2 linked regions of the Sus scrofa genome follow. Each later gene encodes a partner of the first gene's protein in a complex. Links are inferred from orthologs where the notes say so. Each region holds a gene or a part of one and is shown on either strand. Other genes may lie near its edges.

Evidence for each region.
Region 2: APBA1 (region 1) and LIN7C share a complex: the UniProt entries of both Homo sapiens proteins name them as parts of the brain-specific heterotrimeric complex. The link is inferred for Sus scrofa from reciprocal best matches to the Homo sapiens genes APBA1 and LIN7C.

Annotation. Positions count from the first base shown.
Region 1 is NC_010443.5:222,836,218-222,840,032, forward strand, and holds part of APBA1 (amyloid beta A4 precursor protein-binding family A member 1), read right to left. Parts: exon of another isoform or gene 1,842-3,815; 5' UTR 1,773-1,841; coding exon 573-1,772; intron 1-572. UniProt on the Homo sapiens protein: Putative function in synaptic vesicle exocytosis by binding to Munc18-1, an essential component of the synaptic vesicle exocytotic machinery. May modulate processing of the amyloid-beta precursor protein (APP) and hence formation of APP-beta.
Region 2 is NC_010444.4:32,843,545-32,847,938, reverse strand, and holds the start of LIN7C (protein lin-7 homolog C), read right to left. Parts: upstream 3,012-4,394; 5' UTR 2,717-3,011; coding exon 2,680-2,716; intron 1-2,679. UniProt on the Homo sapiens protein: Plays a role in establishing and maintaining the asymmetric distribution of channels and receptors at the plasma membrane of polarized cells.

The sequences.
Region 1 (3,815 bases):
CATTCAAGCCTTGCTTTCATCCCGCTTCCTCAGCCTTGTTTTTCTAGCCTTACCTACTCCTCCCTACAAAGGAACCCCCTTTTTGCCTAACTCTAGAGACCACTGAGGGTCTTACAGAGTCAGCGGTTCTACTACTGCATTAGGCCTCCTCCCCTATTACAATAGTAACTTTCCCCCTTTGCCATAATCCTTTCCAGTAAAGTCTCTCCTTACTCAACCCACACTTATTGTTTACTGGATGCTAGCAATGCAAATTTTTAGGCTCTGCCCCGCCCCTTCTAAGTGAGAAACTGGGGAACAGGGAGTAGTGGAAATCGATTTCTGAACAAGCGCTCCAAGGGCTGTTTGAGAAACACTGATTTATGCAACCTCTCCTCACTTCATCCCCTCCCACCTGTATTTCACTCACTGGGGCTTTAGTGCAAGCTGTCTCTGAAGCTTACGGTGGACACGATTTTTAGCGTCCCCACTGATCATTTATCTCATCAAGTCATCTCCCAATGACCACCCAGCGCCCGTCTCCCAGAAGACCGCGCCTAGAGCTGGGCAAGTCCGAATCCGCACACACTTACATCTCCATCCACCGGCCTCTGGTCGTCACAATCCTTGGTGGGACTAATATCCTGGCGCATGACCCAGATGGGCTCTTTGGGCTCGTCGGGGGTGTAAGGCGAACGGATGGTCCTGGTTTTCACTTCCTCGATGGCCTCCTTGATGTCCTTGATGGCCAGCGAGATGGCATCCCTTTTCTCCTTGCTGTACCGCTGCACCGCCTCGCTGCCCACGGTACCCGCCAGCCGCTGTTGCCCCGCCAGGGTCTGCAGGCCAGGGCTGTCGGGGCGGCCCCCGCCTGGGGTAGGAGCACGCTCCAAGTCCTGCTCGGCCTCGGGCATGTCCTCGGCTGCTTTGTCGAGGCTCTGTGAGCTCATGCTCTGCTTGACCTCAGCCACGATCTGGTCGATGTCCTCCTCCTGCTCGTAGCTGTCCATGCGCGGGTAGGGCGCGAACTCGGCCTCCTTCTCCGGGCTATCAGACTCGCCGTCGGAGCGTTCATCATAGTGGTGTAGCCGCGCGCCCAGGGCCTCCTGGCGATACGCAGCTGCTTCGTCGCGCTCCTGCTCGTACAGCCTCAGGCCGTCGTGCCCGTCCAGCTCGGGCGCGTCTCCGATCTCCTCGTACACGTGCTCCTGGAGGCCCCCGTAGTCGGCGTAGGGTTCAGCGTAGGGCTCGTCCTCGCCGCGGTGGAAGAGCCGGTGCGTGTAGACGTAACCCGAGTATGCAGCGTTCATGGCCTCCTCGTGTTCCAACGAGTGGAAGTGCAGGTGGTTGGGCAGTGTGCGGCGGTGCGTGGCCTCCGCATGCTCGGCCTCCGCCTGCTCCGTGTACTCCTCGGCCTCGGGTCGGTACTGCACGGCGTATGCGCTCTCGTCCTCTGGGTCCTGCGCGCGCTCGGCGTCGTAGCCGTCGCGGGCCGCGGCAATAACGTCGCCCTCAGCGGTGTCCGTGTGGTTGTGAAAGCCGCTCTCGGTGCTGGCAGAGCGCGCCAGGCACTCCCCGCGCTCCTCCTCTTCCTGCTGCTGCCCGGGCGATGCTCGGAGGTCTTCGACAGCGCGCCCGCGCGAGGGTCGGCCCCCATAGTGCTGCTGCTGCTGCTGCTCCTCCTCCACTTCGGGGTGCTCCAGGTCGGCCTCTACCAGCTCGTTCACCTCCCCGCCTGGCGCCTCGTCGGTCACTTCCACCTCCGCCTCCGCGGCCCCCTCCAAGTGGTTCATGGTGGGCGTCGGGGACGGCTGGGAGAGAGGTTGGGCCGGCTCAAAGCGCTCTCATTTTGTTCTGCCCGGCTGGAAAAACAAGAAGGGAGGGGTTGTTAACGTGGTTCAGACTGTAGTCAGAAGCTGAGTACCAAGATAACCATAAAACTAGCTGTTATTGATCCCTTCTGAATCAGGGTCAATTAAAAAGTGATTGCAAATGTAAGCTCATTCTGACGGCACGTAGTTCATCTTCGTAGCACGTGTCGTAATTTGTAATTACATAGCTCCTTGTTTAATTGCTTACTGGCTTTCTCCCTTCCCCACCCGTCTAACTGAGAGCCTCCTGAGCCTTTAGTTCCCCCACAGCTTACTATTCAGGTTCTGTTTCTGATGCATTTGAATAGAGAGTACTACTAAATTGAATGAGGCAATTGACACATTTTCCATCTGCTAAGAGATAAATCTCTGTAAATTAAACTAGGATCCTAGATACTCTAGAAACGATTCTTTAAATAATTTCAAGGGAAAAAATAATCTTGGAATGTTTTGAAGGCATTGCTGTCAATACAAATATGCAGCCGTTCTGAGGGAAGCCAGCAGCAGTATGTTCTAGTTGTGTCATTACTGGCTCTGTTGCCTTGGGTTGAGTGGCTTAATTTTCTGGACCTCCGTTATGAGACTGGACTCATTTCCTACAGCAGGATGTTAACAGTTATTACACAGAAGGGAAAAAAAAAAAAAAAAGACTCCATGGTTAAATAAGTTTGGGAAAGGCCAGCTGAGTGTTGACTTCTCATTATAAATAATTCAAGGGAGGAAGATAGACTGCAGGGTTCCCAAACCTGTCTGACTGGGAAATGCTTTTTTCCTAGAGGCCAGTGTTCTGAGACGTGCACTTAACAGAAACACTGACTAGCTGACTTCTAATACTCACTTCCCTCATACACCTAAAAATCTTTGATTCTATGAATTAGCATTATAGCTAATAACTAGATAACATGCTAATTTCTTTAAAATATAGGTAGATCTCTTTCCCTATTTCCAAAGGGACTTGTGGCTTTAGAGATAGCTTTGGTTTCAACCTCTCTCAATTCTTCTTACCACAAAAGAGCTTTGTAGCATAATCTGCACAGCATATGGAAATAAACACAAAGGACATAAAGAACAACAAAAAACAGGCAGGATCCCTAAGATTTCAAGACACTTGTGGTTTCAACAACATGTGTAAACTTTTCTCAAAGTTCTTTTGGAGAGCTCATCTTACAAATGGAAAAAACTGGGACTTGAACTCTTTAACAGCAGAAAGCTCCAGGAGGACCAGGGACATCTGATTGACTCTCTAATATTGGGATGCATTATATTCTACTCAATTCCCATCACAACTGTAGCAATTTCCTTCAAGCACTATGACAGTCCCAGTAGTGGGTGAGAGCATTGTGGAGCTACCAAGGTCATGTTTAGCAGGAGTTTTGAGGTAGGAGGTAGATGAACCCCTGGGCTGAGGACAGCTGGGATTTGTTAGGCCAAGTAAATTGGGCCTTGTTTCCCCTCTGACACTTCAAGGAAAAAGTTAATTGCAGGAGCTGAGCTCTGCTGGAGTAGAAAGATAAGATGACCACCTCAATCACTCCTGGGGTCAAGGAGAGCGCTCCAATTACACATGTGCAATAAGACTCCTAGGGGTCAGAAAGGGAGGGGGCGCCAGGCCATAATAAGTCCCCATACTGTCCAGGCACCCTTTGCTCTGGAATCCATCTTTGTCAAAAGATGCACATGCATATTGGGGAGGGTCCTGTGTCCTTTCAGGTGTGAGAAATGAAAGAAGAAAACTGGCCAAAGGTAAACAAAGACCTGGGAGAACTGTCCTATGTGAGTTAAATCACCAGAAAGAGGAGTGCAGTTTCGGGTTCCTCACTCAGGGGGATGCCTGCACCTACACTCCTCTTTAGGGTGTGTATTACTTCTTTGCTTCTGACTTAAAAAACTACTTAACTGTGTGCTCTCCCACATGTATTGTGACTCTAACAATAAACTTTATACCTATCTTCACAGTCTTTGCCA
Region 2 (4,394 bases), on another chromosome or scaffold:
ATTAATAACCAAAGCACTGAATAGTGTAAAACACTGTTAGTGAAATCACTGTTTATTTCCCAAAAGAAAACGTAACGTATACATAAATATGAAAACTCTTCAATAACAGGTGCAGTTAAGTGGCAGAGACACATTTAAAACAGTGATACAAATGACCAGAATTAACTGATTTGTTTTCAACTTAGGATTATTAACACAGTATTTTAATTAAGACAAGCTCAGTTAAATACATGTTAATAAAATACAAAATTAAAAACAGTTTCCTGAATCTAGTCTCAGTAACAGCTGTGTGATCTTGGGCAAATACCTCTCCATGTCTGTTTTTCCACTGCAAAACAGAAATAACATTACCCTTTTTATAAGAATTGTGGACCAGAACAAAAATACATGGTAAGAGCCTGCCATTTAGCAAGCATAAATGTTCTATTACATCAGCACCAAAGAATCATAATGTACACATTTACACTATAAATATATTAAGCATGTTAGGCAACTGTCACTAGGAAGTGTGAGCATAAGTGTTCTATGAATTAAGAAATTTTACATAATTCAGCCATGTTTCAACACCACCTCTACTTTGATTTTTAGCCCCACAGGGGACTAGAGTATCTATTATTCTAAATTCCTTGCCTCCTTCTGTCTTAAATGGAAGAAGTTCTGAATTTTATATTACGCTTAAAGGATTGGAACCTCATAGAATTAGTATAATCTTATTTGTGTTTGTAACTGGCAAACTAGGAATAAATGTAGTGAAGAAAGAAGTAGATTCTTCAATTCCAGGTAATAAAAGCTTAAACTGATGTTAATACAACGTCAACAGACTTTCAGCTTTCTGTCTCCCACCACCAGAACGGCTGGTGAACAGGCAAGTGTTGGTTCATCAAATATTTTGATTTATAAAGCTAGAATATGTAAGGTATATTAAACTCTTCAATTAAGAAAAATTTTAAAAGTAAAATACTCTTTACTGAACCTAAATGTACCCAACATGTGCTCAAATGTGTTCCACTGAACCTTGTTTGATGATTTTGAAGGCATTTAGGATCTTGAACATTTGCACTAATTTTATAATGCAGAACTGCTGGAAGAGTTTCTAAATAGAGTCTGTTAAACAGAATGCTAAATAAGATTTACAGTTGATGTAATCTGACTTTCTTATCCTGCTAAATGGTATCCACTAGTAATTCATCCTACTAAGGTGCTGAGCATTTGGAACCGAAATGAACTCTGAAACAGAAAAAAAAAACAAAGCCATGACTACCACAACTAAATGCCAGAGGTGAAGTTTCACATTTTGTACTGCACTTAAAAACACAAAAGACCGCCAACATGTTAGAAGCCTACAACTGGCTTTCAAAGAAAAACACCTACTCCTGCTAACACCAAACAGATTTGTTCCCATCTACAAAGCACAGTGCCATTGTGCTCAGGAAGAAGATGTCATAGTTTCCCCCTAACTTAGCAAGTCTTCCCAGAGTAGCTACTCCTCTGTCAAAGATGATACTTTAATTAAAGGTCTGGTAGGCTGGAGGAAAACAACATCACTTGTAAAGTAACTTACAAGTAGTGAACACCATAAGGAATAAACAATGTCTAGTGTGCATTTGTTTCTGTAAAGGCACAAGGAAAGAGTTCACCAACTACAATAATTCTAAAAATGCATTCTCTCCTTAGAGCGGAAGTTACTTAACACTCAGACAGTAAATGCAAAAGTTAATATCTGCAAGATATTTTCAATCTCCATCCTATACTTTATCACTAGTACTCCATATGTGTACTTCATACTTTTTGACTCTTACGACTCCTAATACTAGCATGTCAAAAGTATGCATGAAGTTATTTGAAAAAAAGGACTTGGGAGGAAAGAGGGGAATGCTGAAAATCTTCAACAGGCCTCTTCTAGGCTCATAGCTATGTACTTTAACTGGCTTTTCGATTTCCAGTCATTCAGCAGAAAGGTTTTATTTTCCTTGACAGCCTGCTCTACAAAGCAAGCACCCAGCCAGTTAGCAATTGTAGGATTTGTAAAGAAGGAAAAAAACTACACTATTAAGTATTTTACAATCTACCACAATTCCAACTAGTTATGTAACCTTCTTCCCTGGACATTAGTAAGATTGTTTTTAAAGCACCTTCTCCGTACGGGGAGGGGGACCACAGCCAGAACACAACCCGATAGAAATACAAGTGGGGTTGTGGTCGAAGTAACGACAGCGTTCGTGCATAAATAAGGTGGGTTCTGTGGCAATGTACTGTGAAGCCGGGCTGTGTGAGTAAGGCGGGGACACTGGATTGTGCACAGGTCAATACGGGCAGTGAGTGTAGTCTGTACAACTGGGCGTGTGATGTTTGCTTAGCTAGACACGTCTCCGAACGCTGCGTCTGCCATACCCATCCAGAGAACGCGTGTGCAGAGTGTGTTTGCGAACGCAGACAGGTGGGGTCGAACAGTACTGTGCTTCGCGACTGTCCGTGTGAATAGAGGTGGGTCTGGGTATCAGTCAAGAGCAGCAAGCTCTCCCCCTGGGGCCAGGCGCAGCAACGTCGGCGGCCACCGGCGCCAGCGCGAAGAAAAGACTGATTCCAGATCTCAGAGCTTAGCTGCCCCCCACCCCCACGGCGGAAAGGCACTCCCCCACCTTCTCCGTCCACGACAGTCCCGGCCTAGTCCCCACTCACCCCTCTCCAGTCGCACAGGTTCCCCCAACGCCGCCATCTTCTCCCTTTGCCTGCAGACCCACAGGAAATGACGATAGAGGGGCTGCGGTGGAGGGGCGGGGCTTAGCAGGAGCCGGGAGCAACCGAGCCAGTATCGCGAGAGCGGGAGCAACCGAGCTGGGGCTCGCGGGGATCTTCCCGTGGGCTGAGCGGGCTCCAGAGGGTGGCCTTGGGCTGCATCTTCAGTGCTTGTCAGGTTCTCCAATCCCCCGGCCTCCTATAGTTGAAAAGAGTCTCCCTCCCAATTCTTTCCCCATTCTTAGCTATCCCACCCGTTTGCAACCCTTGGCTCCATGTGGTGGAGTCTGGATTCTTGTTACCCCTTGGTTCTGTGAGCCTGGACTGCTCACTTACCTTCTTTCGGCCTCAGTCTTCCCCTCTGTCGGACAAAGAGTCCGATCTCCGATTTCTTTAGATTCTAAGTGAGATTCGGTGACGTGTGTAAGTGAGATATTATAAATTCCGCATTTGTGGCTCCATTGCTTTAATTAATTTACCAATCCAAGGCATAGATCTTCCCTAGAAATCTGAGAATAAGGATAGAAAGTACGGAGTTCCCCGTCCTGGCGCAGCGGAAACGAATCCTACTAGGAACCATGAGATTTCGGGTTCCATCCCTGGCCTTGCTCGGTGGGTTAAGAATCCGGCATTGCTGTGAGCTGTGGGCTCAGATCTGCCATTGCTGTGGCTGTGGTGTAGGCCTGCAACTACAGCTCCAATTAGACCCCTAACCTGGGAACCTCCATATGCCCTGGGTGCGGCCCTAAAAAACACAAAAGGCAAAAAAAAAAAGGATGGAAAGTGCAAAAGTCATGAAACACTCTTGGGTGAGTGAGAAAACAAGACACTTGGGTGCATCTCAAAGTAGGAATTTTTAAAAGCTCATCAAAAACCTTATATAAATGAAATATTAGGAAGCAAATAATATTCTTAAAACACTCTAGATTCTTAGGACTACTTTTGAAAATTTCATGAGCCAAAACCAATTTTAGGCCTTAATTTGAGTGTGAAATATTAATTTGCCCAGCATTTCAATTCCACTAGTATTTATTCAAGCTCCAGTCTGCACTGCTAATCTGTGGGGTGCTCTTACAAAGGAGTGTTTAACACTTCATGACAAGATGGTTTTAACGACCTCTCTGTTGCCCCATACATCCTTTCCATTCAACTATAGTATTTTCTTCTCTTCCATCATGAATGCCACCATTAGACTCTTTTTTCCCCCTTGAACCCTGATTCCATCATCAAAGGTTACTGCTCAAAAACTTTCAATGGCTTCCCCCCCCCCAATTCCTATTCCTAAAGCCTTGCAAACTCTGATCCTAACTCATCTAACCTCATTTCTCATCCCTCAAATGGAATAACCACTCCAGTAGAGGTGGAATGTTTAAAACCATGCTTCTTCTTGCTTCCAAGTCTTCATTTATTTTGTACTTATGTAGAATGCCTTTCTTCATCGCTTCTAGTTTTCCATACTCTGTACATCCTCAAACTGAACCCATCCTCCAGGTCTGTGGAAGATATGCCACTTCCACTAAGTTTCCCTTTTGGCCATTCTGTTTCCCTTCTTTGGTCCTTAATGGCCCTTATGTCCTGCAAAAGCATTCATGTACTTTTCATCTCTTATTCATTGCTGTCATTTGTTGCTACAGATGTTCAAGAACTTTTGCTAAATA